7 linked regions of the Oryctolagus cuniculus genome follow. The protein of the gene in region 4 binds, or shares a complex with, the protein of the main gene of each other region. Links are inferred from orthologs where the notes say so. Each region holds a gene or a part of one and is shown on either strand. Other genes may lie near its edges. The genes, in order: DDX46, DHX16, SF3B5, SF3B2, SNRNP40, SNRPD2 and SF3B4.

The links.
Region 1: SF3B2 (region 4) and DDX46 share a complex: the UniProt entries of both Homo sapiens proteins name them as parts of the 17S U2 SnRNP complex. The link is inferred for Oryctolagus cuniculus from reciprocal best matches to the Homo sapiens genes SF3B2 and DDX46.
Region 2: SF3B2 (region 4) and DHX16 share a complex: the UniProt entries of both Homo sapiens proteins name them as parts of the minor spliceosome. The link is inferred for Oryctolagus cuniculus from reciprocal best matches to the Homo sapiens genes SF3B2 and DHX16.
Region 3: SF3B2 (region 4) and SF3B5 share a complex: the UniProt entries of both Homo sapiens proteins name them as parts of the SF3B subcomplex of the 17S U2 SnRNP complex. The link is inferred for Oryctolagus cuniculus from reciprocal best matches to the Homo sapiens genes SF3B2 and SF3B5.
Region 5: SF3B2 (region 4) and SNRNP40 share a complex: the UniProt entries of both Homo sapiens proteins name them as parts of the minor spliceosome. The link is inferred for Oryctolagus cuniculus from reciprocal best matches to the Homo sapiens genes SF3B2 and SNRNP40.
Region 6: SF3B2 (region 4) and SNRPD2 share a complex: the UniProt entries of both Homo sapiens proteins name them as parts of the minor spliceosome. The link is inferred for Oryctolagus cuniculus from reciprocal best matches to the Homo sapiens genes SF3B2 and SNRPD2.
Region 7: SF3B2 (region 4) and SF3B4 share a complex: the UniProt entries of both Homo sapiens proteins name them as parts of the SF3B subcomplex of the 17S U2 SnRNP complex. The link is inferred for Oryctolagus cuniculus from reciprocal best matches to the Homo sapiens genes SF3B2 and SF3B4.

The regions. Positions count from the first base shown.
Region 1 is NC_091437.1:23,025,437-23,028,936, forward strand, and holds part of DDX46 (probable ATP-dependent RNA helicase DDX46), read left to right. Parts: intron 1-1,249; coding exon 1,250-1,468; intron 1,469-1,790; coding exon 1,791-1,935; intron 1,936-3,500. UniProt on the Homo sapiens protein: Component of the 17S U2 SnRNP complex of the spliceosome, a large ribonucleoprotein complex that removes introns from transcribed pre-mRNAs.
Region 2 is NC_091436.1:139,758,642-139,762,598, forward strand, and holds the start of DHX16 (pre-mRNA-splicing factor ATP-dependent RNA helicase DHX16), read left to right. Parts: upstream 1-1,157; 5' UTR 1,158-1,346; coding exon 1,347-1,553; intron 1,554-3,591; coding exon 3,592-3,839; intron 3,840-3,923; coding exon 3,924-3,957. UniProt on the Homo sapiens protein: Required for pre-mRNA splicing as a component of the spliceosome. Contributes to pre-mRNA splicing after spliceosome formation and prior to the first transesterification reaction.
Region 3 is NC_091436.1:24,439,768-24,442,162, forward strand, and holds SF3B5 (splicing factor 3B subunit 5), read left to right. Parts: upstream 1-1,163; 5' UTR 1,164-1,307; coding exon 1,308-1,568; 3' UTR 1,569-1,895; downstream 1,896-2,395. UniProt on the Homo sapiens protein: Component of the 17S U2 SnRNP complex of the spliceosome, a large ribonucleoprotein complex that removes introns from transcribed pre-mRNAs.
Region 4 is NC_091432.1:5,766,885-5,771,016, reverse strand, and holds the start of SF3B2 (splicing factor 3B subunit 2), read left to right. Parts: upstream 1-1,332; 5' UTR 1,333-1,398; coding exon 1,399-1,531; intron 1,532-1,648; coding exon 1,649-1,695; intron 1,696-1,808; coding exon 1,809-1,886; intron 1,887-3,312; coding exon 3,313-3,552; intron 3,553-3,719; coding exon 3,720-3,770; intron 3,771-4,132. UniProt on the Homo sapiens protein: Component of the 17S U2 SnRNP complex of the spliceosome, a large ribonucleoprotein complex that removes introns from transcribed pre-mRNAs.
Region 5 is NC_091438.1:141,089,577-141,093,076, forward strand, and holds part of SNRNP40 (U5 small nuclear ribonucleoprotein 40 kDa protein), read left to right. Parts: intron 1-2,847; coding exon 2,848-2,970; intron 2,971-3,500. UniProt on the Homo sapiens protein: Required for pre-mRNA splicing as component of the activated spliceosome. Component of the U5 small nuclear ribonucleoprotein (snRNP) complex and the U4/U6-U5 tri-snRNP complex, building blocks of the spliceosome.
Region 6 is NC_091449.1:11,275,486-11,279,627, forward strand, and holds the start of SNRPD2 (small nuclear ribonucleoprotein Sm D2), read left to right. Parts: upstream 1-1,342; 5' UTR 1,343-1,490; coding exon 1,491-1,492; exon of another isoform or gene 1,493-1,728; intron 1,729-2,699; coding exon 2,700-2,879; intron 2,880-4,142. Other genes in the region: QPCTL (glutaminyl-peptide cyclotransferase-like protein), read right to left, coding at 38-181, 564-758. UniProt on the Homo sapiens protein: Plays a role in pre-mRNA splicing as a core component of the spliceosomal U1, U2, U4 and U5 small nuclear ribonucleoproteins (snRNPs), the building blocks of the spliceosome.
Region 7 is NC_091438.1:48,025,975-48,030,006, reverse strand, and holds the start of SF3B4 (splicing factor 3B subunit 4), read right to left. Parts: upstream 2,801-4,032; 5' UTR 2,712-2,800; coding exon 2,678-2,711; intron 2,242-2,677; coding exon 2,113-2,241; intron 1,537-2,112; coding exon 994-1,536; intron 677-993; coding exon 470-676; intron 1-469. UniProt on the Homo sapiens protein: Component of the 17S U2 SnRNP complex of the spliceosome, a large ribonucleoprotein complex that removes introns from transcribed pre-mRNAs.

The sequences.
Region 1 (3,500 bases), on a different chromosome or scaffold from region 4:
TGTAAGTTCTTTAATTATGTTAGATGTCAGTAAATAAGATATCCTAGATTCTGAGTTTTTGAAAATTTAGCATTCTTAACCCAGAATTTTTTTATAATTGTCTTTGGATGATTTCTCTAGTGTGCATTTGGGCTTAGTTTTATGGAGCATTATTCTGGCTCATCTTACCAAAGTTATCGTAAGAGTGATTATTTTTTTAGAAAGCTTTTATTTAATAAATATAAATTTCATAAGTACAACTTTTGGATTATAGCAGTTTTTCCCCATCCCCAAGATTAATTATTTTTTTTCTTTCTTAACCTGCTTTTATTGGGTGAGTTATTGGGCACACCAAACAATCCTCTGCATGTAGAAGCACATACTATGTGTTTCAAACTAACATGGATTCAAACAGTGGAGAAAATGTTTTTAAATATTTCCCGTAGCATTTTCCTGGAAGCTTTCTTGTTTATTTTTCACTAACAGTTAATTTCTGTAGCATACCCGAGGAATGGTTTATGAATCTGAACAGTATTTTGAAGACTGTGAGTAAGTCATTTCTGTTATTGAACGCCAGGTTCCCCATCTGGAGGAGGTGCTCGGTAATGGTAATGGTATAAAGGAAACTCCTAAGAAGCACAAAGTATGTCAGTTATCCTGGAAATACTGTACTATATCTGATACAAGTGTTCCTTAATCATTAGGGATATATCTAAAATCTATTAGAATATTTAAGATAGAACATTCTTAGTTTTCTCATCAAGAAAAAGGAAGATGTATTAAACTGTTAGTCTTAAATATATTCTCATACTGGTCCATTGCACATATGGTGGGAAATCTGCATTAGAAAGATGCTTTATTTTTGTTTGTATTTTTAGGATTTATATTGTTTATTTGCAGAGACAGAGATTGACCTTCCATGTGCTGGTTCACTCCCTGAATGGCCACAAAGGCAGGGGCTGGATCAGGCAAAGCCATGGGTCTGGAACTCCGTCCCGGTCTCCATTTGAGTGGCAGGGACCCTGCACTTGAACCACCCTCTGCTGCTTTCTCAGGCACATTAACAGGGAACTAGGTTGGAAGTGGAGCAGATGGAACTTGAACCCGTGCCCGTATGGGATGCTGGTGTTGCAGGCAGCAGTTTACTCTGCTGCGCAACGCTGGCCTTTTAAACAGAGTTAGTGACTTTGCAGAGAAGAACTTGGGGTGGGCTTCCTGGCCCTGTCTCTGTGCCCCTTTGAGATTTGACTGTGGATCTTCTCCCCTGCAGGATGTGATGCAGCAGGCCACCAATGCAATCCTCAGAGGCGGCACCATTCTCGCACCTACTGTGTCTGCGAAAACCATCGCAGAGCAGCTTGCTGAGAAGATCAATGCCAAGCTCAATTACGTGCCTTTAGAGAAGCAAGAAGAGGAGAGACAGGATGGTGGACAGAATGAGTCTTTTAAGAGATACGAGGAAGAATTAGAGATCAATGACTTCCCACAGGCAAGTAACAAGTTTTGAACTTCATCATGAGGTAGAAACTCTTGATTCTTGAGCAGCAAAAATCCCTTCTTTTAGACCTGTGAAAATTTTAATGGCTACTTACTTTCTACATAGATGAGGGAAACAATAGAAATTTTATTTTTTATTTTTGCAAATGTGTCCTAGGTAGGTTAGAAGCTAAATGGAGTCATAATGCAGGCATATATTAATGATAATCTTGACATTGTGGATAATGTAATATTAGCCACCCTACTGTTTGTCAGCACATCAGGTTTTAAAAATCCTGTTACAATGTGTTTTTCCTCCCCACCCTTTGTTTCAGACTGCCAGGTGGAAGGTTACCTCCAAGGAGGCTCTGCAGAGAATCAGCGAATACTCGGAAGCCGCAATCACAATCAGAGGAACGTATTTCCCTCCTGGCAAAGAGCCCAAGGAAGGAGAGCGCAAAATCTACTTGGCGATTGAAAGTATGTCCTGTAGGATTAAGGTTGATGTCGGTGTCCTAGACGCAGGAGAACGTGAGGTCACTTGCAGAGAGGGGGGAGATAAGGAGCAGTTCTAAGAAACGATAGTAGAAAGGATAGTTTCCTAAATCACTGGGGGAGAGTTCGGTAGAAGTTTGGTATCTGTACAAAGGTGACTGATTTGTTGTGAGACTCTCTCCGTTTTGACAGCTCAGTCAAATTTGAAGTCTCTGAAAGGACTGACTCATTCATGCTTCTGTGGGGAGTGTTCTGGCCATAATTTAGTTTAGAAAGTGAATCAGCAATATTAGGCCATATGATGATTTTTTTTAGATTTATTTATTTACTTGAAAGGCAGAGTTAGAGAGAGAGTAGGGAGAGATAAAGAGATCTTCTATCAGCTGATTCACTCCCCAAATGGCCACAACAACCAGAGCTGGGCTGATCTGAAGCTAGGAGCCAGGAGCATCTTCCATGTCTCTGCATGGTCTCTGCGTTTTTGTGTGAGGCTACTGAAGTCAGCAAGTGATTTTACAGAGCTCCTTAAATGTCTGGGGAGAGATAAAAAAAAATCTCTTAGTCTTTGCAGGTGTTCTGTATTGGGGCAAATTTTGCGCTTTTAGCCAGACAGCTTGTAACTCAGCGTTAGCGTTCACTGTCTGCTTACACAGTCTAGGGGTCAGCCATCTCAGGTGACAGCCAAGAGCCTTCCCAGGTCTTTTTCGAGCCCAGACACAGTCCTGGACCTACACACGGCCTTCTAGGTTCCTACAAATGTATGGCAGCTGTACAAAGCCCTTAGTCAGAGCTTTTTGTGTTTGCCCTGTTACCTGCCCCAGGGTAGTGTCTAGTGCCCTTGCAGCTGAGAGTGCCTTTGTCCCCCTCTAGTGTTGGCTCTCTCCTGGGAGAGTCCAGGTTAGGTGAAGTGCAGGCAAGCCTTTTGAGCAGAGAGCCACCAGACAGCTGGCTTGGAGAGTAGCGTGCTAGATGGTCCTGGGCGTGTGGACTGCTGTCTTCGAGGCTGTGGGTAGGCAGTGGGGAGCTGGCAGAGGTTGAAGGGCAGGTGGGGTCAGAGTTAGTTACACACTAAATGCTCTGGTCCCGAGACATGGTTGCTATTTCCTTTTCTTCTTTCTTTTGTGTTTGGATATTAGAAAGTTTTAATTGGTTTCCAGAGCCCAAATAAAGTTTTTTTTGTTTGTTTGTTTGTTTTTTTTGACAGGCAGAGTGGACAGTGAGAGAGAGAGAGAGAGAGAGAGAGAAAGGTCTTCCTTTTCCGTTGGTTCACCCCCCAATGGCTGCTGCGGCTGGTGCGCTGCAGCCAGCGCACCGCGCTGGTCCAAAGCCAGGAGCTTGGTGTTTCTCCTGGTCTCCCATGCGGGTGCAGGGCCCAAGGACTTGGGCCATCCTCCACTGCACTCCTGGGCTACACAGCAGAGAGCTGGCCTGGAAGAGGAGCAACCGGGACAGAATCCGGTGCCCCGACCAGGACTAGAACCTGTGGTGCTTTCGCCGCAGGCGGAGGACTAGCCTGTTGAGCCGCAGCGCCGGCCTAAAGTTGTATTTTT
Region 2 (3,957 bases), on a different chromosome or scaffold from region 4:
GCCGAGCTGTGCTGATCTGGAGCCAGAAGCCAGGAGCTTCTTCCAAGTCTCCCACGCAGGTGCAGGGGCCCAAGGACCTGGGCCATCTTCTACTGCTTTCCCAGGCCACAGTAGAGAGCTGGATGGGAAGTGGAGCAGCCGGGACTAGAACCGGCACCCATATGGGATGCTGGTGCTTTAGGCCAGGGTGTTAACCCGCTGCGCCACAGCGCTGGCCCCAGCTTATCTTTCAATAAGCAGCCACCAGTGAATTAATCAAACTGACAGCACAAACGCTGAACACAGTTTGCCCATTTCAGATAATTTTGTCTTTTTTTTTTTAAGGAAAATTTTTTCTTTATTTGAAAGACAGTTACAAAGAGAGGGATAGACAGAGAGAGAGAGAGAGAGAGAGAGAGAGAGAGACGTATTCCATCTGCTGGTTCACTGCCCAAATGGCTGCAAGGGCCGGAGCTAAGCCAATCTGAAGCCCAGAGCTTTTTCAGGTCTCCTTTGTGGGTGCAGGGGCGCAAGGACTTGGGCTATTCTCTGCTGCTTTCCTGCATTGGGAGCTGTATCAGAAATGGAACAGCTGGGACTCAAACAGGCACCCATATGGGATACTGGTGCTTTAACCTGATGTGCCACAGCGCCGGCTGGCCCAAATTTTTTCTTGCAACAGTTTCCCCAGTTCCAACTTTCTTCCTGCTTGGAACTCCCCTTATAGCTAACCTGTATTCACTTTTGTTGCAGATACCATTTCTAGCAAAGGTCAATCCTGCTCAGCACCTGCTAATCTTTCACAGCATGAACATGATCTCATTTGAAATAAAGCCGGCAGCCCGCGTCCCCTTACCTTGAACTATTTTAGACCCGGTAGAAAATATGTACTTTTACTTATTTATTATGTGGCTTACCTCCCTTGAACTCTGAATGTAAACTCGATGTTTTGTCTGATTTACCGTCTGCAGTATCCCCAACATTTTACACCGTGCTTAAAACGCCTTTTTTTAGGCGCTCATTGAATTAATCTCCTTTGAACGAATGAATTAGCGAAGCCTCCACTGACCATCAGGGGGCGATAGAGAAATCGGGCAGGGAAGGAAAATGTGCTACCCAGAGCGAGATTTGATTCTGCGAGATTTGAACTCGCGTAGCCACCGTAGTGCTTAGGCCGGAAACGAGCATCCTCTTCCGGGCTCGGCGGAAGGCGGGTTTGGACTGTTGGAAACCGAACCCTGAGGTTCTAAAGCAGCTCCGTCGCGGGGCTAAGGCTCCGGCCCGGTGCCCCGGGCCTGCCACAGGCCCGGCCGCCGGCGCGGCTGCTCCGGACGCCTCAGCGCTGAGGACCGGGCAGGTGGGTGGCCATGGCGACGCCGGCGGGGCTGGAGCGCTGGGTTCAGGAGGAGCTGCACTCGGTGCTGGGACTGAGCGAGCGGCACGTCGCCCAGTTCCTCATTGGAACCGCGCAGCGCTGCGCCTCGGCTGAGGAGTTCGTGCAGCGCCTACGAGACACCGACACGCTGGACCTGGGCGGGCCGGCGCGGGACTTCGCTCTGAGGCTCTGGAACAAGGTGTCCGAGGGGCGGGGCAGGGGAGGGCCCCGAGTTACGCGTCCGGGGGAGGCTGGCCCGGTTGTCCATCGGGGAGATAAATAAGCTAAAGGCACAGTCATCCTTTGCCGACTGTAGGCTGGGTACTGTGCCTGGTGCCGGGCGTCCGGCTCGGTGGAGAGCATCCGGCAGGTCTTACATGGGGTGGGTTGAGTGCTGTAAAGCAATGTTCCTCCAGCTTCAACCTGCGTAGGAGTCAGCTGTGGTCCTTGTTCAAATGCCCGTGGTCCGCGGGCCGGGCTGTAAGTGGCCAGGCTCTAGAAGAGGTGGTTGGGAAACACTGCGGGAGAGCAGAAGAGGCGGCGGGGACAGTGTTCAGCAAACTCAGGCCCAAGGATCCCCGGGGATTTGTCAAGTGGAGAAGGGGGAGGGAGCGAAGGTGTGAGCGGTGAACTCCTGGAGGATCGCTGGCGTCTGTCCGGGTAGTCCTCCTGCCCAGCCGTTGTCTGTCGGACAGAGCAGGGCCCCATGTGTGCACAGAGTGGGAGTGTCCCAGAACGGTAGAGAGCCTGGTGCGGCTCCGCCTGCGGACCTGTGGCCGGTGTATCCTGCCATCTACAGGTGATGTGGTGATGTGTGACAGCCGGTGTCACATTGCGAAGTTTTGGAGTTTTTTTTTTTTTTTTTTCTTTTTTTAAGATTTATTTTATTTATTTGAAAGACAGAGTTACAGAGAGAGGTAGAGACAGAGAGGTCTTCCATCCACTGATTCACCCCCAGGTGGCCGCAATGGCTGAAGCCACACCGATCCGAAGACAGGAGCTTCTTCCAGGTCTCTCACGTGGGTGCAGGGGCCCAAGGACTTGGGCCATCTTCTACTGCTTTCCCAGGCCATAGCAGAGAGCGGGATCAGAAGAGGAGCAGCCGGGACTAGAACCGGCACCCATATGGGATGCAGGCGCTTCAGGCCAGGGCTTTAACCTGCTGCGCCACAGCGCCGGCCCCACATTGCAGAGTTAACCCTTGTAGCCTGTCAGTCCTTGTGTAGGAATGACTTAAATCCTTGGGAAAAGCAGAACTATAAGAAAGTGGCCAAGTGATTGAGAACTGGGTGTGGGGTTGTAAGCTCTGGGAGGGCAGAGATTTTTGTTCATTCTGGATCCCTAGTACCTAGCAAGTACCCGACAGGTGGGATAGACCTCATTAAACGTGTGTTAAACAAGGAGGCTGTGGTATAGGGGGTGAAGCTGCCGCCTACAGCGCCGGCATTCCATATGGTACTGGTTCGGGTCCCAACTGCTCCACTTCTGATTCAGCTCTCTGCTAATGCACCTAGGAAAGCAGTAGAGGATGGCCAAGTCTTGTGCCCCTGCACCCACTTGGGCGTCCCGGAGAAATGTCCTAGCTCCTGGCTTAGATAGGGTTGTGGCCATCTGGGGTGTGAACCAGCAGGTGGAAGACCTTTCTCTCTGCCTCTCTGTAGCTCTGTCTTTCTTTTTCTTTTCTTTTTTTTTTTTTTTTTTTTTGACAGGCAGAGTGGACAGTGAGAGAGAGAGACAGAGAGAAAGGTCTTCCTTTTGCCGTTGGTTCACCCTCCAATGGCCGCCGCGGCCGGCGCACTGCGCTGATCCGATGGCAGGAGCCAGGAGCCAGGTGCTTTTCCTGGTCTCCCATGGGGTGCAGGGCCCAAGCACCTGGGCCATCCTCCACTGCACTCCCTGGCCACAGCAGAGAGCTGGCCTGGAAGAGGGGCAACTGGGACAGAATCCGGCGCCCCGACCGGGACTAGAACCCGGTGTGCCGGCGCTGCTAGGCAGAGGATTAGCCTAGTGAGCCGCGGCGCCGGCCTGTAGCTCTTTAAAATCAATCAGTCAGTCTTTAAAAAAGTGAATGACGGAAAGGAAGTTCAGAAACTGAGGGGCTCTGTTGAGATGAGAGCAGGATGAAGTCATGGGGAGGAGAGGGAATGCTGGCTGATCTAAGATCAAGTCCTTAAGTCAGGGACAGCCAGGGGGGTGAGCAGCGGTCAGGAGTTGTTCACGCTGCTTATCCCTGACAGGTACCGCGGAAGGCGGTGGTAGAAAAGCCAACTCGGGCGGCGGAGCGAGAGGCCCGAGCCCTGCTGGAGAAGAACCGGTCTTATCAGCTGCTGGAAGACAGTGAAGAGAGCAGCGAGGAGGCCGTGGGCAGGGCTGGGAGCAGCGTCCAGAAGAGGCGCAAAAAACGGAAACACCTGCGGAGGAAGCGCCAGGAGGAGGAGGAGGAAGATGAGGAGGAAGAGGCTCCCGAGAAAGACAAGAAGGCAGGGTAGGTCAAGCAGGGCGAGGGAGGGTGGGCTGGCGGGTGAGGGGCGGACCCGTGGTTTAACCCTGAGCGGGTCTGGGGCTGCAGGGGCAGCGGGCAGCAGCCGGCCAAGCCCGAGTCA
Region 3 (2,395 bases), on a different chromosome or scaffold from region 4:
CCATGCCTATCAGCTATTGTTTATGGATACACAAACTTTCAGCAATTGGAAAACAGAATGATTGACATTAAATCCAGGACAGTGTCCAAGAGATGAGGGAAGGGAACGCGGAGAACGTTTATTTGCAGAATTTATCTCTTAAAAATCAAAACAAAATCAGGACAAATACGGCAAAATGTCAAGGTTTGATACACCTAGAGGATGAAGCCAAAGATATACCTTATAAATTTTCCACACTTTAGGAATGAATTGTCAAGCTGAAAAGAGCAAAACAAAACTGCTTTTTAAAGTTCTTGCTCTCCGGGCAGCGTTCCTCTCTTTGGCTGTAGTTGTCTCTCTATCCCTCAACTGTTTTTTGGAGAACACAATCTATCAGGCTGTACGAATATCCAAAAAGGATATCCTAAGATAAGTATGGGTTTGTTTTTTCCTCAAGTATTTCTACCGCCGTGAATTTTAAACCAAAAGGTAAAACATAAAGCGAAAATCAGATGCAAAGGAGGAGCCAACCGAAGGCAGACGCGTCGCCGCGGGAACAAAGCCTTTCCCGCGGGCGCTAACGGCTCCGAAGGGGACGCGGGCGCGCGCGGCACCTGGCCGAGTGCGGGCCGGGGTCGTGGGGGTCGGCGTGGAGTCGCCGGGGGCCACCAGCCCGAGAGGCGAGACCGAAGGAGTGTGCGCCGGGGGCGCCCAAGCGACTCGGCCCCGGGGCTGTGCAGGGTCACCGAACGGGAACGGCGGCCCCGCTAGAGCGTGGGACCAGAGGTCGCGTCTGCCGACCTCAGTAAGCCACCCGATTGTGAAGGGGCTACCGTGCCGCCTCGTCAGCGCCTAATTACACCAAGGGTTTATTTTCTTGGTTGCCTGTGCCACTGGCCCACTGGCCCACTTTCTCTTAGCACCGGGCCGACAACGCATGCTCCCCGCCTCTGGGGTTCTGCCCTCCATTCAGCTCTTAAACCGCGGTCTCGGAAGAGACCACAAATCCCAGCATGCAAGACGCTACGTCAGTACAGGGCCACCCACGGACCACCAAGTGGACCATCATGCAACGCTCTCCGAGGGCGGGGGGCGGGACTCTGTTAAAGGGGCGGGACAGTTTCAGTGTCGCTAGGGCAACTCCAATACGGCTTCAAAATGTGCTTCCGCTTCCGCGTCCTCCGCCACTCCGTCGCTGTGACGCAATTTCTCTGCGACTGAGCGAGGCTGCCGGTTCCGTGTGCTGGCCTTTCTCCGGCGGGAAACCCGAGACCGGTTCCTAACCCTCGTGCGACTTCTGACTTCGGAGCGAAAGGGAAAGCGGCAAGATGACAGACCGCTACACCATCCACAGCCAGCTGGAGCACCTGCAGTCCAAGTACATCGGCACGGGCCACGCCGACACCACCAAGTGGGAGTGGCTGGTGAACCAGCACCGCGACTCCTACTGCTCCTACATGGGCCACTTCGACCTTCTCAACTACTTCGCCATCGCGGAGAATGAGAGCAAAGCGCGAGTGCGCTTCAACTTGATGGAGAAGATGCTGCAGCCTTGCGGCCCCCCCGCTGACAAGCCCGAGGAAAACTGAGACGGCGCCTCCTCCAGCGAGCCTCCCGATCGCCGGCGTTGCCCGCGCGTTCCTGTCTCCAGTGGACTGGTTCTTCCGCGACTCCTTGCTTCTCCGGCCTTCCGGGTGCAGAAGTGCTCGCCGAGGTGTCCCGCCGGTGCTGTCTTCACGTGGATCCCTCGGGACGCAGCACCAGGACCGCCGGGGCTCCCTGAGAACTGCGGGTGAAGAGGTCCGAGAGCTGGCGGGCGTTGGGGAAGACGGCACTGGAGTGAGGGGATTTGGAGGCTCGTGTTTGACTTAGTTGATTGTCGCGTTGCCTTTTTCATAAAGTTTAGAATCTGTTAAGTCTCTTGGTGTGATCTGTTTGTGTTCCAGGGGAGAAGGCTGGGGAGGACTCGGAACCAAAGGTTCTGTGCGTGTGCAAGTAGGAGAGGGTGGGTGGAGGGCACAGAACCAGCCTGCCTTGCCAGGCACTGAAATCCGCCCAGCATGCCCTTTGGGGAGCTTCAGAAAGCCCCTGGAAGGTTAAGCCTCCGCCTGCAGTGCCAGCATCCTATATGGGCAGCTGGTTGGAGGCCTGGCCCCTGCACTTCTGATCCAACTTCTTGCTAATGCTCCTGGGAAAGCAGAGAAGGGTAGCCCAAGTGCTTGGGCCACAGGCACCCATGTGGGAGACCCGAAAGAAGCTCCAGGTTTCAGTCTAACCCAGCCCTGGCCATTGCTGCCATCTGGGGAGTGAACCAGCAGATGGAAGATTCTCTTTCTCCGACTCTGTATTTCTAACTTTAAAATAAATGAAATTTTATTATTTTTTTTAATTTTTTTATTTTTGACAGGCAGAGTGG
Region 4 (4,132 bases):
TGGGGTAAAACCAGGCCGCCTTGGTGTGTCCCCCGGCCCCCGCTCTGTCACCAGCAGCCCTTCCTCTCCTGCCCAGAGATCCCCCTTCCCGACAGTGGAGGCACGTGGCTCCGTGCCTGCAGCCTCAGCCGACCTGCCCCGGTGGGCTCTCCGGTTACAGGGAGCAGAAAGAACCTTCCCTCAGGCCGGGAGGGGTTCTGCCTGAGTGGGCTGATGTGCCAGAGAGAAGGGCACCGCTTTTTTTTTTTTTTTTCCCTGTGCTGTTGTGACTTCCCTGGGACTGGCAGCAGGAGCCGTGGGCTGGTGACCTAGTGGGTGGGAGGGAGGGGTGTGAGCCAGGCTCCCCCGGCCCGGTGCTTTGCTCTGCCCCCAACCCTCACCTTCTGGGCTGTGCTCCCGGCTCCCAGGTATTTCTCACTGAGGACAGTTAAATGCAGCTGGGTGGAGAAAGGATCTGAGGGTGTGTGTGTGTGCGCGCGTGTGGTGAGACCCTTTCGTGAGTCTTCCTGTCACTCAGCACAAGGACTCACACAGGCCCTGGAGACGCAGAGCTGGTGGCACAGGTGGAAAGTGAAATGCAGCCGATGGGGCAGCGCAGTCAAACGTGGAAGCTGGGCAGGCAGGGTCCCCTGCTCGCCTCTCCGTGAGCTCGGCAGGGGATGCCAGCGGAGTGGGGCTGACCAAGACCAAAAAAGATAACAAGTGATGTCGCTGAAGATCCGCTCTTCCGGTCACCTTTATTGGGCGCCCCTTGCACGCCAGGGGCTGCAGCCGTTGGATCAAGCCCCGACTCGTCTTTTTCAGGCGGATGTAAGTGCAAAGACCAAGACTTGAACAAGATGGAGCAGATTTGAACGCATTACGAGAACTCCAGGAAAGCCGGAGAGGGCGGGCCTGGAAGATGTGAAAGGGGCTTGGGTGGCAGCGAGCGCTCCACTCCGTCCGTGCGGGCCCGGGCAGACAATCGGCCCGACCTTCCGCTCCCGCCGCGGAGCGAGTCCCTCGGGACCCCCTGGGAACGCAGGCACTCAGGCCTCTCACGCTTGGCCCGGGAGTCGAGCCAGAGGCTGGAAGCCTGCGCTCGGGCGGGCGAGACGCAGAAAGCACTCCCTGGGGCCGGGACTCGCCGCCCGCGCGGCCCCGCTCCGGGCGCCGCAGCCCAGGTCTGCGCTCCGCGTCGGAGCCGCGGCCTCAGTGTACTACGACTCCCAGAAGGCTCGGCGGCCTCAGTACTACGACTCCCAGAAGGCTCGGCGGCCGGCCGGCGAGTCACGTGACAAGCCGAGCTCCCTCCGCCGCCGAGAGGACGTGGCGTGCGGCGCTGCCGGAAGTTCCGGGAAGTAGGCCCCGAGGGCGGCCGGAGCTTCCGGGCTGGTCGCGCGCCTTCCTGTGGCCAAGATGGCGGCCGAGCATCCCGAGCCTCCCAAAGGCGAATTGCAGTTGCCGCCGCCGCCGCCTCCCGGGCACTATGGCGCCTGGGCTGCCCAGGAGCTCCAGGCCAAGTTGGCAGAGATAGGCGCTCCGATCCAGGGTGAGGGCTTGGAGGGGCCGGGAGGGCACCGAGGGTCCGTGGAGACGCGGAGCCCGGTTACCCGGGAGACTGGGGGCGGGGGCGGGCCCGCGCCGCTGACCCGAGCCTCGCCCGCAGGGAGTCGCGAGGAGCTGGTGGAGCGGCTGCAGAGCTACACGCGCCAGGTGAGTGCCGGCGGCCGAGGGGGCCCGCCCGGCGTCGTGGTGGCCGGCCCCGGCGCGGAGGAGTCTCTGGCTCCCTGGTGGGCCGCCCTGGAGCCTCGCTCTCTCTCTCGCAGACGGGCATCGTGCTGAACCGGCCGGTCTTGAGAGGGGAAGATGGGGACAAAGCCGCGCCCCCTCCCATGTCGGCACAGGTAAGGGGGCGCCCCCTTCTCTCGCCTGCGTCGGGCTGCCGTGCGGAGGTGGGAGCTCCGGGTCCGGCCCGCTTCCCGGCGTCCGCGCCTTCGAGTTCTGGCCCCGGGGGTTCCGCTTGAATGCGGCCCGCCCCGCGTGCTGCCGTGTCGACCTCTTGGCCCGCCCCGCGTGCTGCCGTGTCGCTGTGCGAGACTGAACGCGCGGGTGGACTCTGCAGAGCTCGCAGCGCCTGGCACGCCGGTTGTCTCCCGTCCGTCACTTATGCAGGATTTGATGCTTTTCCTCCAGAGAGTGCCTCTGACCCATGGCTCTGCACTCCTTCAGCGGCCTTTGTCTCGCTCTTTCTTTTTTTTGACAGGCAGAGTGGACAGTGAGAGAGAGACAGAGAGAAAGGTCTTCCTTTGCCGTTGGTTCACCCTCCAATGGCCGCCGCGGCCGGCACACCGCGCTGATCCGATGGCAGGAGCCAGGTGCTTCTCCTGGTCTCCCATGGGGTGCAGGGCCCAAGCACCTGGGCCATCCTCCACTGCCCTCCCTGGCCACAGCAGAGAGCTGGCCTGGAAGAGGGGCAACCGGGACAGAATCCGGCGCCCCGACCAGGACTAGAACCCGGGGTGCCGTTGCTGCAGGTGGAGGATTAGCCTAGTGAGCCGTGGCTCTTTTTAAAAGTGTCTCTTTTTAAAAGGTTTATTTATCTACTTGGAAGGCAGAGTTAGAGAGACGGAGGTCTTCCATCCGCTGGTTCACTCCACAAATAACTGCAGTGACTGGGGCTGGGCCAGGCTGAAGCCAGGAGCCAGGAGCTTCCTCTGGGTCTCCCACGTGGGTGCAGGGGCCCAAGCACTTGGGCCATCCTCCACTGCTTTCCCAGGAGCACTAGAGGGAGCTGGATCGGAAGTGGAGCAGCCAGTGCTCAAACCAGCTCCTGTAGGGGATGCCGGCACTGCAGACGCTGGCTTAACCCGCTGTGTCCAGCGCTGGTCCCTCAAGTGTCCTGGAGTCGTGTGGAGCAGCTGTGTTCGTGGTATTTTTCCGTGGAGACAGTCGGTAGCTTTCTTTGGATGGTATCCCAGAGAACTTCCCGTTCTCTTCCAGTGCACAGAGCAGTCTCTTACAGAGCAAGAAATCACGTCTCTGTCTTTTTCCTTGATTTTGAATATTTTTTTACTTATTTATTTGAGAGGAAGGTTTATAGACAGAGACCGAGAGAAAGGTCTTCCATCCGCTGGTTCACTCCCCACGAGCCTGCACCCATACGGGCTGCTGGCATCACAGGCGGAGGCTTAGCCCACTGTGTCCCAGCACCGACCCCAGGATCTCGTCTGACTTGGAATCCCAGTGCCTGGCTCAGAGCAGGCTCCCAGCGGATGCTGGCAGAGGGCGTGGGCGAATGCCTCCTGGCTCACGATCGCATTTTCTCCACAGCTCTCTGGGATTCCCATGCCACCGCCACCCATGGGGCTCCCTCCTCTGCAGCCCCCTCCACCCCCCCCTCCACCCCCACCAGGCCTTGGCCTTGGCTTTCCCATGGCCCACCCACCAAATTTGGGGCCCCCGCCTCCTCTCCGCGTGGGTGAGCCGGTGGCGCTGTCGGAAGAAGAGCGGCTGAAGCTGGCGCAGCAGCAGGCGGCACTGCTGATGCAGCAAGAGGAGCGCGCCAAGCAGGTAGGGCGGGGGAGCCTGGGCCTGGCCTCGTGGGTCCCTGCGGAGAGAGTGGGCTCGGGGAGTTGGCGCCGGGACCAGAGGCAGAACCAGGCCGCAGGCTGGCGGCAGAGCTGGGGCAGGCGGGCCGTGGGGAGTTGTGCTGGTGTGAGCTTGTTTTCTCTCTTAAGCAGGGAGATCATTCACTGAAGGAGCACGAGCTCTTGGAGCAGCAGAAGCGGGTAATGCCCCCCTTCCTGACCTTTGACCTCACGGTCCAGGCCTTGGCTGTCACTTAACCGTGCTTAGTGTGCAGGACGAGAGGCACCGTTCGCGTTTTCTTTGGAGGCTGCCTCATCCCCAGCTAAATTCCAGCATCTCTTGAAGAATTCCGTTGTTCCTCAGCCCACAGGTTGGCAAACCACAACCTGTGGCCTGTGTCTGTCTGAGCTGTGAGCTGAAAATTTTTTTCCTATTTGTAAAGGGTTGTTGTAAGAAAAGCCCAAATCAAGAATGTCTAGCAAAGTCCTCACAACAGCCCGTGGAGGCTGATGCCCACTGGTCCACCACTAGTCCACACGACGTCCCCTTAGGTGCCTTGGAA
Region 5 (3,500 bases), on a different chromosome or scaffold from region 4:
CAGCACGGTGCGCCGGCCGCGGCGGCCATTGGAGGGTGAACCAACGGCAAAGGAAGACCTTTCTCTCTGTCTCTCTCTCTCACTGTCCACTCTGCCTGTCAAAAAAACAAAACAAAACAAACCACTATGCCCCAACACCAGAGCCATTGTAGTTGTCATTGTTGGTTTGTTTTGCGACTTTTTTTTTTTTTTTTAAGATTTATTTATTTTTTGAGAGGCAGAGTTCCTCATAGAGAAAAGAAGAGACAGAGGTCTTCCATCCACTGGTTAACTCCCCGAATGGCCAAAAGGGCTAGAACTGGGCCCAGCTGAAGTCAGGAGCCAATAGCTTCTTCCGGGTTGCCCACATGGGTGCAGGGACCCATATGGGACACCAGCTCCTCAGGCAAAGGCTTAACCTTCTATGCCACAGTGTTGGCCCCAGTTTAGTGACTTTTTAAACTAGTTTTGTGAAGACTGTGTTGTTTGTCCTGCATAACTACTGAAGTCTTGTTCCATTATTTTAGTTATCAACTAGTGATTCTTTTATCACCTAGAACAAGTAAAAAAAACTCTCCCAGTCTTTGTAGATTGGCTCTGCATGTATGCTTAGAGCCATTTCATAGAGGAGAAAACTAAGTCACATGGAGTACACTTTTCCAGGTTACTAAGTGACAAAGCTAGGATTCCTGTCTAAGTAATTTAGGTCTGAGTCTCCACTCTGCAGTAAGATAAATCAAGACATGCAATAAAAATTTTAGCTGCAGGGTTTCAAGACAAACCCAGATCCCCGGCAGACCGTTTTACACAACATAAACCTCCAGGGGGCATTATTACCAGCAGTGTGCAAGTGTGCCATTTATTTATTTATTTGAGAGGCAAAGTTACAGAGTGAGGAAAAGACAGAAAGTCTTCCAACCACTGGTTCACTCCCCAAATGGCGCAGTGGCCAGAACTGGGCAGATCCGAAGCCAGGAGTCAGGAGCTTCTTCCGGGTCTGCCACACGGATGCAGGAGCCCAAGCACTTGGGTCCTCTTCCACTGCTTTCCCAGACCATAGCAGAGAGCTGGATTGGAAGAAAAAGAGAGGCTGGGACTCGAACCAGTGCTCATATGGGATGCTGGCATTGCAGGTGGGGACTTAATCCACTGCGTCACAATATCGGCCCCCAATAACATAACTTTTAAAAATCTATATAAAAATATTTTGTTCTGCCTCTCGTTAACAGTTCTCAATTTCCTCTCTGAGCTAGAACTGTATCTTAGTGTTTTTTCCTTCATGATGAGACAGAGAGGTGAGCCAACAAACATTTACTGAATGATTTAATAAAATTACTGTTTAGGGGGCCAGAGTTGTGACAGTGATATCTCATTTTGGAGTGCTGTTTTGAGTCCCAGGTGCTCTATTTTAGATCCACCTCCCTGCTAATGCGCCTGGGAAAGCCGCTGAAGATGGCCCAAGTATTTGGGCTCCTGTGACCAATGTGCGAGACCTGGATGGAGTTCTGAACTCCTAGCTTTGACCCAGACCAGTCCCAGCTGCTATGGTCATTTGAGAAGTGAACCAGCAGATAGAAGATCTCTCTGTTTCTCACCATTTTTGTAACTCTGTCTTTCAAATAATTAAATAGATCTTTTAAAAAATTACTGTTTGGATAGGAGAGGATACTAACTGACTTTAATTATAACTAACAGTAAACCATCTACTATGAATGTAGTTATGAAATTATGACTAGAACTAAACATGAAAACGTTTAGTTTTTTTTTTTTTTTTTTTTTTTTTCTATTTTGAAAGACAGTTACATAGAAAGGTAGGGATACAAAGAGAGAGCGGTCTGGCCAGCGCCGGGGCTCACAAGGCTAATCCTCCGCCTGCGGCCCTGGCACCCCAGGTTCTAGTCCCGGTTGGGGCGCCAACTTCTGTCCTGGTTGCTCCTCTTACAGTCCAGCTCTCTGCTGTGGCCCGGGAAGGCAGTGGAGGATGGCCCATGTGCTTGGGTCCCTGTACCCGCATGGGAGACCGGGAAGAAGCACCTGGCTCCTGGCTTCAGATCAGCACAGCGCCGGCCATAGCGGCCATTTGGGGAATGAGCCAACAGAAGGAAGACCTTCTTCTCTGTCTCTCTCTCACTGTCTATAACTCTACCTGTCAAATTAAAAATAAATAAATAAATAAAATCTTTGAAAAACAAAACAAGGTAGGGTCAGAGCTGTGATGCAGTGGGTTAAGCCACCACCTGTGACACCAGCATCCCATATGAGAACCAGTTCAAGTCTTGGCTGCTCAGCTTCCAATCCAGTCCCAGCTAATGTGCCTGGGAAAGCAGCACAAGATGAGCCAAATGCTTTGCCCCTGCCACCTATGTGAGACACCCAGATAGAGTTCCTGGCTCCTAGCTTCTGCCTGTACTAGCTTCAGCCATTTTGGGGAGTAAACAAGTAAATGGAAGATCTCTCACTCTCCCTTGCTCTCCTTTCTCACTGTAACTCTGCCTTTCAAATAGTAAATATGTGGGTTTTTTTTTTTTTTTTTTTTTTTTTTTTTTAGGCAGTGGTCTAATATCTTTCTCCTAAAGAATATACGAAGTAAACTTATAGAGGACTTCTTCCAAGGGCATGTTGATTAACAGTATTTTATTCTAACTTTATTACCAAAGGAGTCTGAAAATATAACCAAAATAGTTTATTCCACCAGCCTTCAAATAATTTGGCAAAATTGTGATCATTTTTTACCATGTGTTGCTAGGACATCCAAGAAAGTTTCTGAATGAGGTTCTTGTTCTAGATGTGTTCATGTCTACCAAGTATGTTGTGCAGTTACTTCTCAAGGAGATGTTACTGATAGACTGTCCTATTCCTCTGCTTTAGCTTTGGGATATCCGGAAGAAAGCAGCCATCCAGACATTTCAGAACACATACCAAGTGTTAGCTGTGACCTTCAATGACACAAGTGATCAGATTATTTCTGGTGGAATAGACAATGATATCAAGGTATGTGATGTTCGTGTTGTATTTCACTTTGACCTGCATCCACTTACAGAAGCAAATCTTTGAAGACTTTTGGGATTGTGGTAGCTTTGTGCTTAATACCAACTAAAATTACAATAATAACTTAGAACTTTCTTTCTCTTCGGTCCTCATTGTCTTCCTCAATCAAAGGTTTCATTGCAGCCCATATAAATGCTGTCAGGGACCAGGCGGTTCATGTGCCGCATGCATCCCCTGGGTGGAGGACTAGTGGAAGGACGGGTGTCCTCCACTCTTGCTGTGTTTTTCTTTTTGACACTATTTAAATTAAGTTTTCTAAGCTTCTAGTAAGAATGAGAGAAAGTAATACTTTTGGAGAAGGAGGCAGTGGGCCGTGTGGCAGTACAGTGTAGCTTAAACCTTCAACTAATTTGACTTGGGTTCTAATCCCACTTCTGCTGTTTTCTAGTTTTGTGATTTCAAATGGGTTCTTTAACTTGTTCACTTTAAGCTTATGTTTTCTCACATGAAGAGTGAAGGTGATAATAATAACA
Region 6 (4,142 bases), on a different chromosome or scaffold from region 4:
GCGGGTCAGCGCTGGGAGAGGAGACGGGGCCTCGTACCTTTCTGACTTGGAGACTGCCCGGAGTGCCCGGGGCTCGCACAACAAGCAGCGGTCGCAGGAAAGTGCCCCAGAGGCGCTGCAGGTCCAGCTGCCCCACCACCCTCCGCAGCCGGGCCTCCGGGAGACTTCCGGTCAGCGGCGTCTAAAGAAGAGAAGAATGAGCGCACTGCTCCCTCCCCCCAAAAGCCCGGGTGCCTCCGCGGCATGGGAGACTTCCAGGATCAAAGTCTCTCCAAGCCCACCCGGTTTAGCCTACCCCTCGATCGTGACATGGAAACCGAAGCCCAGCGAGGGGAAGGGAGGCTTCCAAGAGTTGCCTTTCGGGCGTGGAACCCAAAACCCTCATCCTGACGACTCCGGAGCCTTTCTTTCCAGGGGGCGCGTTGGGAGGGGGCTTGCGCTCCGGGGAGGCAGCCGGTGGCACCTGCGGCCAGGGCCCCAGGTAGCGCCACGTCAAACCGAAACTCGGAAAGAGGAAGCGGGGAGAGAGGGCCCTCCAGTGCCCGCGCCGCGCCCAGCCTCACCCGCGGCAGCTCCTCGGTCCTGCGGTGCCAGCTGCCCCACAGCGTGTAGAGGGCCGAGCCCACGGCCAGCGCCAGCAGCAGCACGGGCAGCAGCTGCGCCCGCGGGAGCAGGCGGCGCTTGAGCGGCGAGCTCGGCTCCATCAGGCCGCGCTCCCCGAGCCGGGGCCGGGGCCGCCCGCGGCCCCCGGGACGCATGGCAGCTTTGCCCTGAAACCGGCCAGGGACCGCGGATGGAGTTCAGGCCCAGCCAAGTCCCACCCCATGGAATCACAAAGCCAATGAGCGACAAGAGCGCCGGGCACCACCCCGGCCCGGCGAGCCGGGTGCAGCTCCCGAGGACAAGCCTCCCCGGAGGCCCGGGGTGTCGCGATTGGCTCCCAGAGGGGTTGCACAACCCCCAGAGGGGACGCGAAGGCGTGCGGCCCGCCCCGGCGGAGCGGGTAAAGCCAATGGGCAGCGCCCGGCCGCGGAAAGGGATTGGTTCCGCGGGACGGGAAGATCCAGCGAGGCGTCAGGCCCCGAAGCCGGGACCGGATTGGCTTCGTGGAGGCCGCGCCCCCGGAGACGGGGCTGGCGGGCATTTAGAAACCTCTGGCCGTTTCCCTCCTGCAGCCTGTCCCGCCTCTACCACGAAGCGGCGCGACTCGGACTCTCTGTCTTGGTCTCTCCATCCCGATGAACACCTGCCCGCTGTGGTCCTTAAAGGCCTCGAACTGCCGCTCGCGGCTTCGGCCCCCTCGCTGCGCAGCCGGCGGGGGTCGCTATGGCAACAAGCCACGCCCCAGCCCGCCGGGTGGGTTTGCGCAGGCGCCCACGGAAGTGGCCCGCCGGAAGCGGAAGTCCCGCCCCTCTCGCGCTCCATCCGCAGAGGCAGAAGCAACGCGGAGGAGGTTGGAGTGAGAGTGACCCGAACGCGGGGCCGGCACCATGTGAGGCCGGGCTGGGCTTAAGCGGCGGGCGTGAGGTTGTGGGTGCGAATGCGGCCGATTAGCGGCGGAAGGGGGCGGCAGCGCCGGGGGCGGAGCAGAGCTCTCGGGCGAATTTTCTGTAATGAGCGTGGGACCGGCCCCCGGGGCCTCTGGCGGACCCTGAGTCCGCGAGGGCCGCCAGCTCTGTGAGAGAACGGGCAGCGGCTCCTCCGCGTCATCAGCTCGCTGGAGTGAAGGTTAAGAAGCGGCTTCTCGAGTTACAGAAGCCGGGGAGCGGGCGCGGGCTTTTAGGCATAGCGATTGGGGGCGAGGGGCTTGGAACGTGAGCTGGGGCCGGGGGCCGTGGCTGCTCGGCCTGATTCGCAACGACGCCGCGGCTGGGGCTGCAGGCTCAGCCGGGGGCCCTGGGAGGGTTCCGAAGAGGCTGCCGTGAGTTAGGCTTGCGCACGGCCCCCAGGCTGCCCCTGGGTGCAGGTAGCCCTGGCACGGAGGTCGGATTCTGCAGCCGGCCGGGGGGAGGGGTACGGCCGGCAGACGCATTGATTCGGCCCTGCCGAGCGGGACTACGGCAGGCTGGTTTTTAAGCCGGCGCCCGAGTGCTGTTCTGAACACCGAGGCTGGCCAGCCCCGAGTGGCCGGGCAGGCCTTTCTCCTGTGACTGTTGCCCGGGCTCCACGGGGTCGCAGCACAGTCAGGTCCCGTTACGCTGTAACCTGGAGATGACTTAGCGAGCGGGAGGTGTGCGCAGGGTGTGTGTGTGTGCGTCCCCGCCATCCCACCTAAGGGATCCGAGCCGCTGAGGCTTCCGGGACCCGGGCAACGCGGATCCTGGGACCAGCCCCCTGTGGATGCCGAGGGACAAGCGTCCGATTGTGGGGCAGTGGGCGTCAGACGCCAGGGGGAGGAAGGTGGGGGCGCCGTAGAGCAAGTCCTGACAGTGGCTGCTGTCCGAGTTGCCGTGGGAGACGAAAGAGGAGTGGACGTCCGCTTCTGCCCGGCCAATGAGAAGGGCGGACTTACCCCCCAGGGAGTGGTGTGCCCTGGGTGCAGCAGGCTGGGGAGGGGGCCTAGCGGGAGCTGAGCCGGGGCGGGCGGGGTTGGGGATGGCTGGTGGCTTCCAGGTGCTGATGCCTAGAGACCAGGCCGGCAGGGCTGGGGGGCGGCCCCGGCTCCTCCCCTCACCCGCGGGTCCCTCCTCCCCCGTCAGGAGCCTCCTCAACAAGCCCAAGAGCGAGATGACCCCCGAGGAGCTGCAGAAGCGGGAGGAGGAGGAGTTCAACACGGGCCCGCTCTCCGTGCTCACGCAGTCGGTCAAGAACAACACGCAGGTGCTCATCAACTGCCGCAACAACAAGAAGCTGCTGGGCCGCGTGAAGGCCTTCGACAGGTGCGCGGCCGGGGGCGGGGCCTGGCCCGGGAGGGAGGGGCCTGCGGGCGGGGCTCCTCCGAGGCCGCGCCTCCCGCCCTGCCCTGCGGTGGGCGCCAGCCGGCCCCTGCTGTGCTGTCCCTCTGAGCGGCCAGGCGACCCTCAGCGCGTGCCGTTATCTTGTCCGCACAGTGGCAGGCAGTCGTCGCGGTGGATACAGAGATGCGGTGACTTAACACGCATGAAGTGCCTGGCCACAGGACACCTTTTGGTTCATTCATTGAAAGAGAAGCGGAGAGACGGAGAGAGCTCCCACCTGCTGGGCACTCCCCGGATGTCCACAGTGGGGCCAGAGCCGGGGGTAGCACGCAGGCAGGCTTTTAATATTTTATTTATTTTGAGAGGTAGAGTTATGGATAGAGACACAGAGAGGTCTTCCATCCGCTGGTTCACTGAGCTGAGCTGACCAGGAGCCAGGAGCTTCTCCTGGTCTACCACGTGGATGCAGGGGCCCAAGCACTTGGGCCATCTTTTGCTTTCCCAGGCCACAGCAGAGAGCTGGATCGAAGAGGAGCAGCCGGGCCTCGAACCGGCACCCTTGTGGGATGCTGGCGCTGCAGGCCAGGGCGTCAGCCCACCAACCACAGCGCCGCCCCCGTGTGTTCTGTGGTGTCTCACTCACGCACTCACCGTGCCCCTGGCCGTCCTTTGTGGTGCCCACAGCCTTGCAGAGGTGCCCCTGGCAGGGCTCGGTCCTGCAGGAGAACCTTCCAGGCGCTCTCCTGCCGCCCGGTTCTGCTGGTCCTGGCCTGAGAACACTGCGGCCAGCGGGCTGTTGCCTGCCCCCTCAGCCCCTCCCACCCGCGACTGAATGCGCAGTGTGTGCAGGTGGGGCGGGTTCATTCAAACAGGCACCTGATGACGGGCGATCTCCTTCCTGCGCCCTCCCTCCAGGGACCGCCCCCCTGGTGGTCACAGATCCGCAGGAGTGTGGTGTGACTGAAACATCACATGTGTTGGAAGATGGGGGCTTCTTAGCCTTTTTTTTTTTTTTTTTTTTTTTTTTGACAGGCAGAGTGGACAGTGAGAGAGAGAGACAGAGAGAAAGGTCTTCCTTTTGCCGTTGGTTCACCCTCCAATGGCCGCCGCGGTCGGCGCGCTGCTGATCCGATGCCAGGAGCCAGGTGCTTTTCCTGATCTCCCATGGGGTGCAGGGCCCAAGCACCTGGGCCATCCTCCACTGCACTCCCTGGCCACAGCAGAGAGCTGGCCTGGAAGAGGGGC
Region 7 (4,032 bases), on a different chromosome or scaffold from region 4:
AGAGAAAGGTCTGAAGGGGAGAGGTACAAAAGTGGATCTGTCCACTGAGCAACAGGATTATGGATTTAGATTGTTAATAATCATGAACTAGAGATACAGACTAGGAGACATCAGTGTATACTTAATCTAGACCCAGAGAAAAATCAGTTTATCAAATTGACTGAAACTGAGGTGTCAGGTGGAGAATCCAAAAAACAGATGAAAAAAACAGACAAGAATTTCAAACAGGAGTACACAGCTAGTTTCAAATACAGCAGAGGGCAAACCATCTAAGAAGTCGAAGTATCCCCTAGACCACTGCTCTGGGGTTGAGTCAGAGAGAAGGGAAACAACAGGGAACAAACAAACAGCAAGTATAGGCTACTCTGCAGAAAGACTTACACAACAGGACAGGTGGTAAGTAGTAAACTAAAGAGAGCATTTTGTTCGTTCACGCACATCCCTCCCTTTCCCAGCCAAGAACACCTACCTGGATGGGGCATGCCACCTGGTGGGAAGGGGTGAGGATGTGAGTGTCCATGACCAGGATGTCCAGCCCCCGGGGTGCCTGCTGATGGAGGGCCATGTCCTCCAGCCCCAGGAGGCATTGGTGGGGGGGGCATGGCTGGAGGTATTCCAGGTGGGAGGGCTCCAGGAGGCGGCACTGGGGGTGGGAAAGAGCCAGGAGGAGGCATGCCTATATAGAAATCAGAAGAAGGATTAATGGCGGTGGGCAAAGAATGCCTTTAAAGAACCTGTCCCAGTTTGACCTGTCTATGCAGGGTGAGTTCTTGCCCCCTCCTCCCAGTGCTCTAAGGTCACAAGCCATGTTGCACTACTCAAATAATCCTACCTCCCTGGAGAAGCCCGACAGAGTTCTTCACACCCCTCCCACCCACCACCTCCTAACTCCCTTCTCATCACCCACTGACTCAGGAGATCTTCCCTTTCCAGGTTCTTTGTTCTCCTCACTGCAGCCCCAAGACAAACGTATTTGCGAACCAAAAGCTTTACCTGGTGGAGGAAGCCCAGACCCCAGTGATGATACCACAGGGTTGGGAGCAGAGGGTGGAGGGGGTGCATCTGCAAACAGCTGATGTGGGCGATCAGCCTGGGAGAGTGGGTTCTGGGCTGCCAGAAGTCGTTCAGCTGCGGAGCCATGGCGCTCACCCTTGGAGTCCTTCTTGAAGGCATAAGACACGGTGATGGGGCGGTTACAGAGGTACTGCCCATTCATGGCCTCAATTGCTGCATCCGAGGCATCAAATGAAGCAAAATTAATAAAGGCATAACCTTTGGAGTTGCCTGTGTCAGGGTCCCGCATGATCTTGGGGGTTTGTAAGATGACCCCAAAGGCGCTAAAAGTATCGTAAAGCAGCTTCTCGTCAATCTCCGGGTCCAGGTTCCCGATGAAAATGTTGGCCCCGACATCCAGGTTTTTGTTGTGAGCTGATGCCTTGTTCACTCGTATTGGCTTCCCATAGAGTTTGATCATGTTCATGATCTTAATGGCATAGTCAGCATCTTCTTCACTCAAGAATTCCACAAAGCCATAGCCTAAGCAGGCAGAGAGGAGATTAGCAACTAGAGCGAAGATACCCGAAACTGGGTAAAACTCACCCACCCTCCAATCACAAAGAACAAGAAAATGATTTTAGAAACAAACTGTGAACTGAGGATTAAGAGAAAGCAATCTGGGGCCGGTGCTGAGGCACAGTGGGTTGGGCATCTGCCTGCAGCACCAGCATCCCATATGGGCGCCAGCTCAAGTCCCAGCTACCCTACTTCTGATCCAGCTCCCTGCTGATGGCCTGGGAAAGCAGGAGAAGATGGCCCAAGTCTCTGGGTCTCTGCACCAGGGTGGGAGACCTGAAGAAGCTCCTGGCTTCAGACTGGCCCAGCTCCGGCCAGTGCGGCCATTTGGGGAGTGAATCAGTGGATGGAAGGCCTCTCTCTGTCTCTCCCTCTCTCTGTCTGTAACTCTGCCTCCCAAGTAAATAGATAAATCTTTAAAAAAGAGAAAAGAAGAGGAAGCAATCTTCTGGTCGCTCATTCTGAAACAAGTATAAATACCGCTGGGACCCTCAGGAGCAGCTGTCAGATACATAAAGTGGCCTCTTGGCGCGGACTCACCTTGGTGCTGGCCAGTGACTCTGTCCTTCGGCATGTGAGTGTTGACCACCGGTCCTGCCTGCAGGAAGAGCTCCCACAGCAGAGGTTCGCTAACCTTCTCGTCCAGGCCCCCCACGTACACAGTAGCATCTGGAGGGAGGATGCAGGAATTTAGGATGGGGACGAATATGACAGGAAAGGAGCTGACCGGGACATAAAGATGGAACCCAGTTAGAGGAACTGCAGGCGGGGATGTGGGACAGAAGCGAAAAGGGGGAGGTGGAAAGCATCCAAATAAGCCCTAAATCGTCCTCTTCGCAGGACCTAGAGCCCCTTCTGAAGTTCACTTTAGTGTCTGCTGCAAATTCCGTCCCACTCAGAAAAGGCAGCAGGGGGACTGCACGAAACATCACACGTCCAGGCCTCAGCCTGCACCCGGCCAACCCGCCCGCACCAGCCACGGAAGCGAGTCTCGCGCCCTCCGGGGGACGGGGGTCCAGTTTCCCGCCTTGGAGACGCTACTGGCCTTAGCTGGGGCTTCCCACCCTCCCGGGCCCATTCCGGACTCGTCTCCCCGCCCAGTCACCCTGGTTCCGCTCGGAGATCGGCCCGGCAGCCATGGCGAAAAGAATCCCGCCGCCTCCAAGCAGCGGCTCCGCCCTCTGGCCGCGGTCACTACTTCCACTTCCGGGGCGAAGACTTACGTGACGCTGGGCGGGGCCCGGACGGGGGCGGGGCCGGAAGCGGCTGCGGCCATCTTAGGATCCCGCGGGACTTGACGGTGCTGTGGCGTCCCGGTTCAGAGGCGTTTGGATTTGCGCCGAGGTTCCGGGGCGAGCGGTCGTAGCGAGGAGGGCGGGGCAGGAAAGCGCAGGCCCTCTGAAAGCAGTGCCAGACGTCTCCCACCGGTGCGGGCGTTTGGCACAGCGGTTAAGCCACAGCATCCTCAGTCAAGAATTACAGGGTCCGAGCCCCGGTTTCCCCCGACTCGAGCTTCCTGTAAATGCACACCTTGGGAGGCAGCAGAAACCCCAAGTTTGGTCCCTGCCACCCATGTCGGAGACCTGGATTGTTCCCCGCTCCCGGTCTGCGTCTGGCATGGCCCCGACTGTTAGAGGCATTTGGGGGAGTGAACCAGCGGATGGAAGTTGTCTGTTCCTCTCTTTCAAGCTAAAAATAGTAACTCTTCGTGTATTTTGTAGCCAGCTGATCCTTTTGTCACCCAAAGGAAAAGGTTCTCAGGGACCCCTCAACCTAAGGACTCTGCTCCACAAGCGTCTTAGTTTTGGCCTCATGCCTCTGGCTGGCTCGAGGTAATGTCTGAGCCGGAGTGTGAGCAGAATCTGAGGCTCCCCGGATGGAGTGTGACCAAAGCTGCAACTCCAAGAGCACTTTCTGGCCCCAGCAACGTCATAATATGCTCTTGGCTGTCTGCCTCTAAATGGGAGATGAGAATTCTGAGCCTCACGTGGTCCAAATCCATTCCTTTCTTAGAAATCATACGATGGGGACCTTTTCTCAAGTCTTTGCTATCTAGGATCCTTCATTCAAATCCAAGAATCAGTGCCAGCAATGTGTATAAATATTGTGCTTTAATGAACTTAAATAGAAATGCCACTACAAAAATGTACAGTTGGAAGAGAGGGTGTGTTTCATATCCACTTTGTTTCCAAAAGAAACTATACAGGAAGAAACAGAAATTGGAATTAAAATAGGCAGCAAGAAGGGGCAAGAATGAGGTCTTTAGGCCATACTGTTGGAACTGGTGAACAGCGTCTCTGGTGTCACAACTTAAATAGCTGGCTATCTATAAAGCAATTACATTGTGGATTGTTTTGTTTCTTAATTCTTCAACTCCCAGGAAACAACAGCTTCAGGAACCAAATAAAAGGACAAGAATTAAAGATTAGCACCACCGTCCACAACAAACTCAATTCTAAG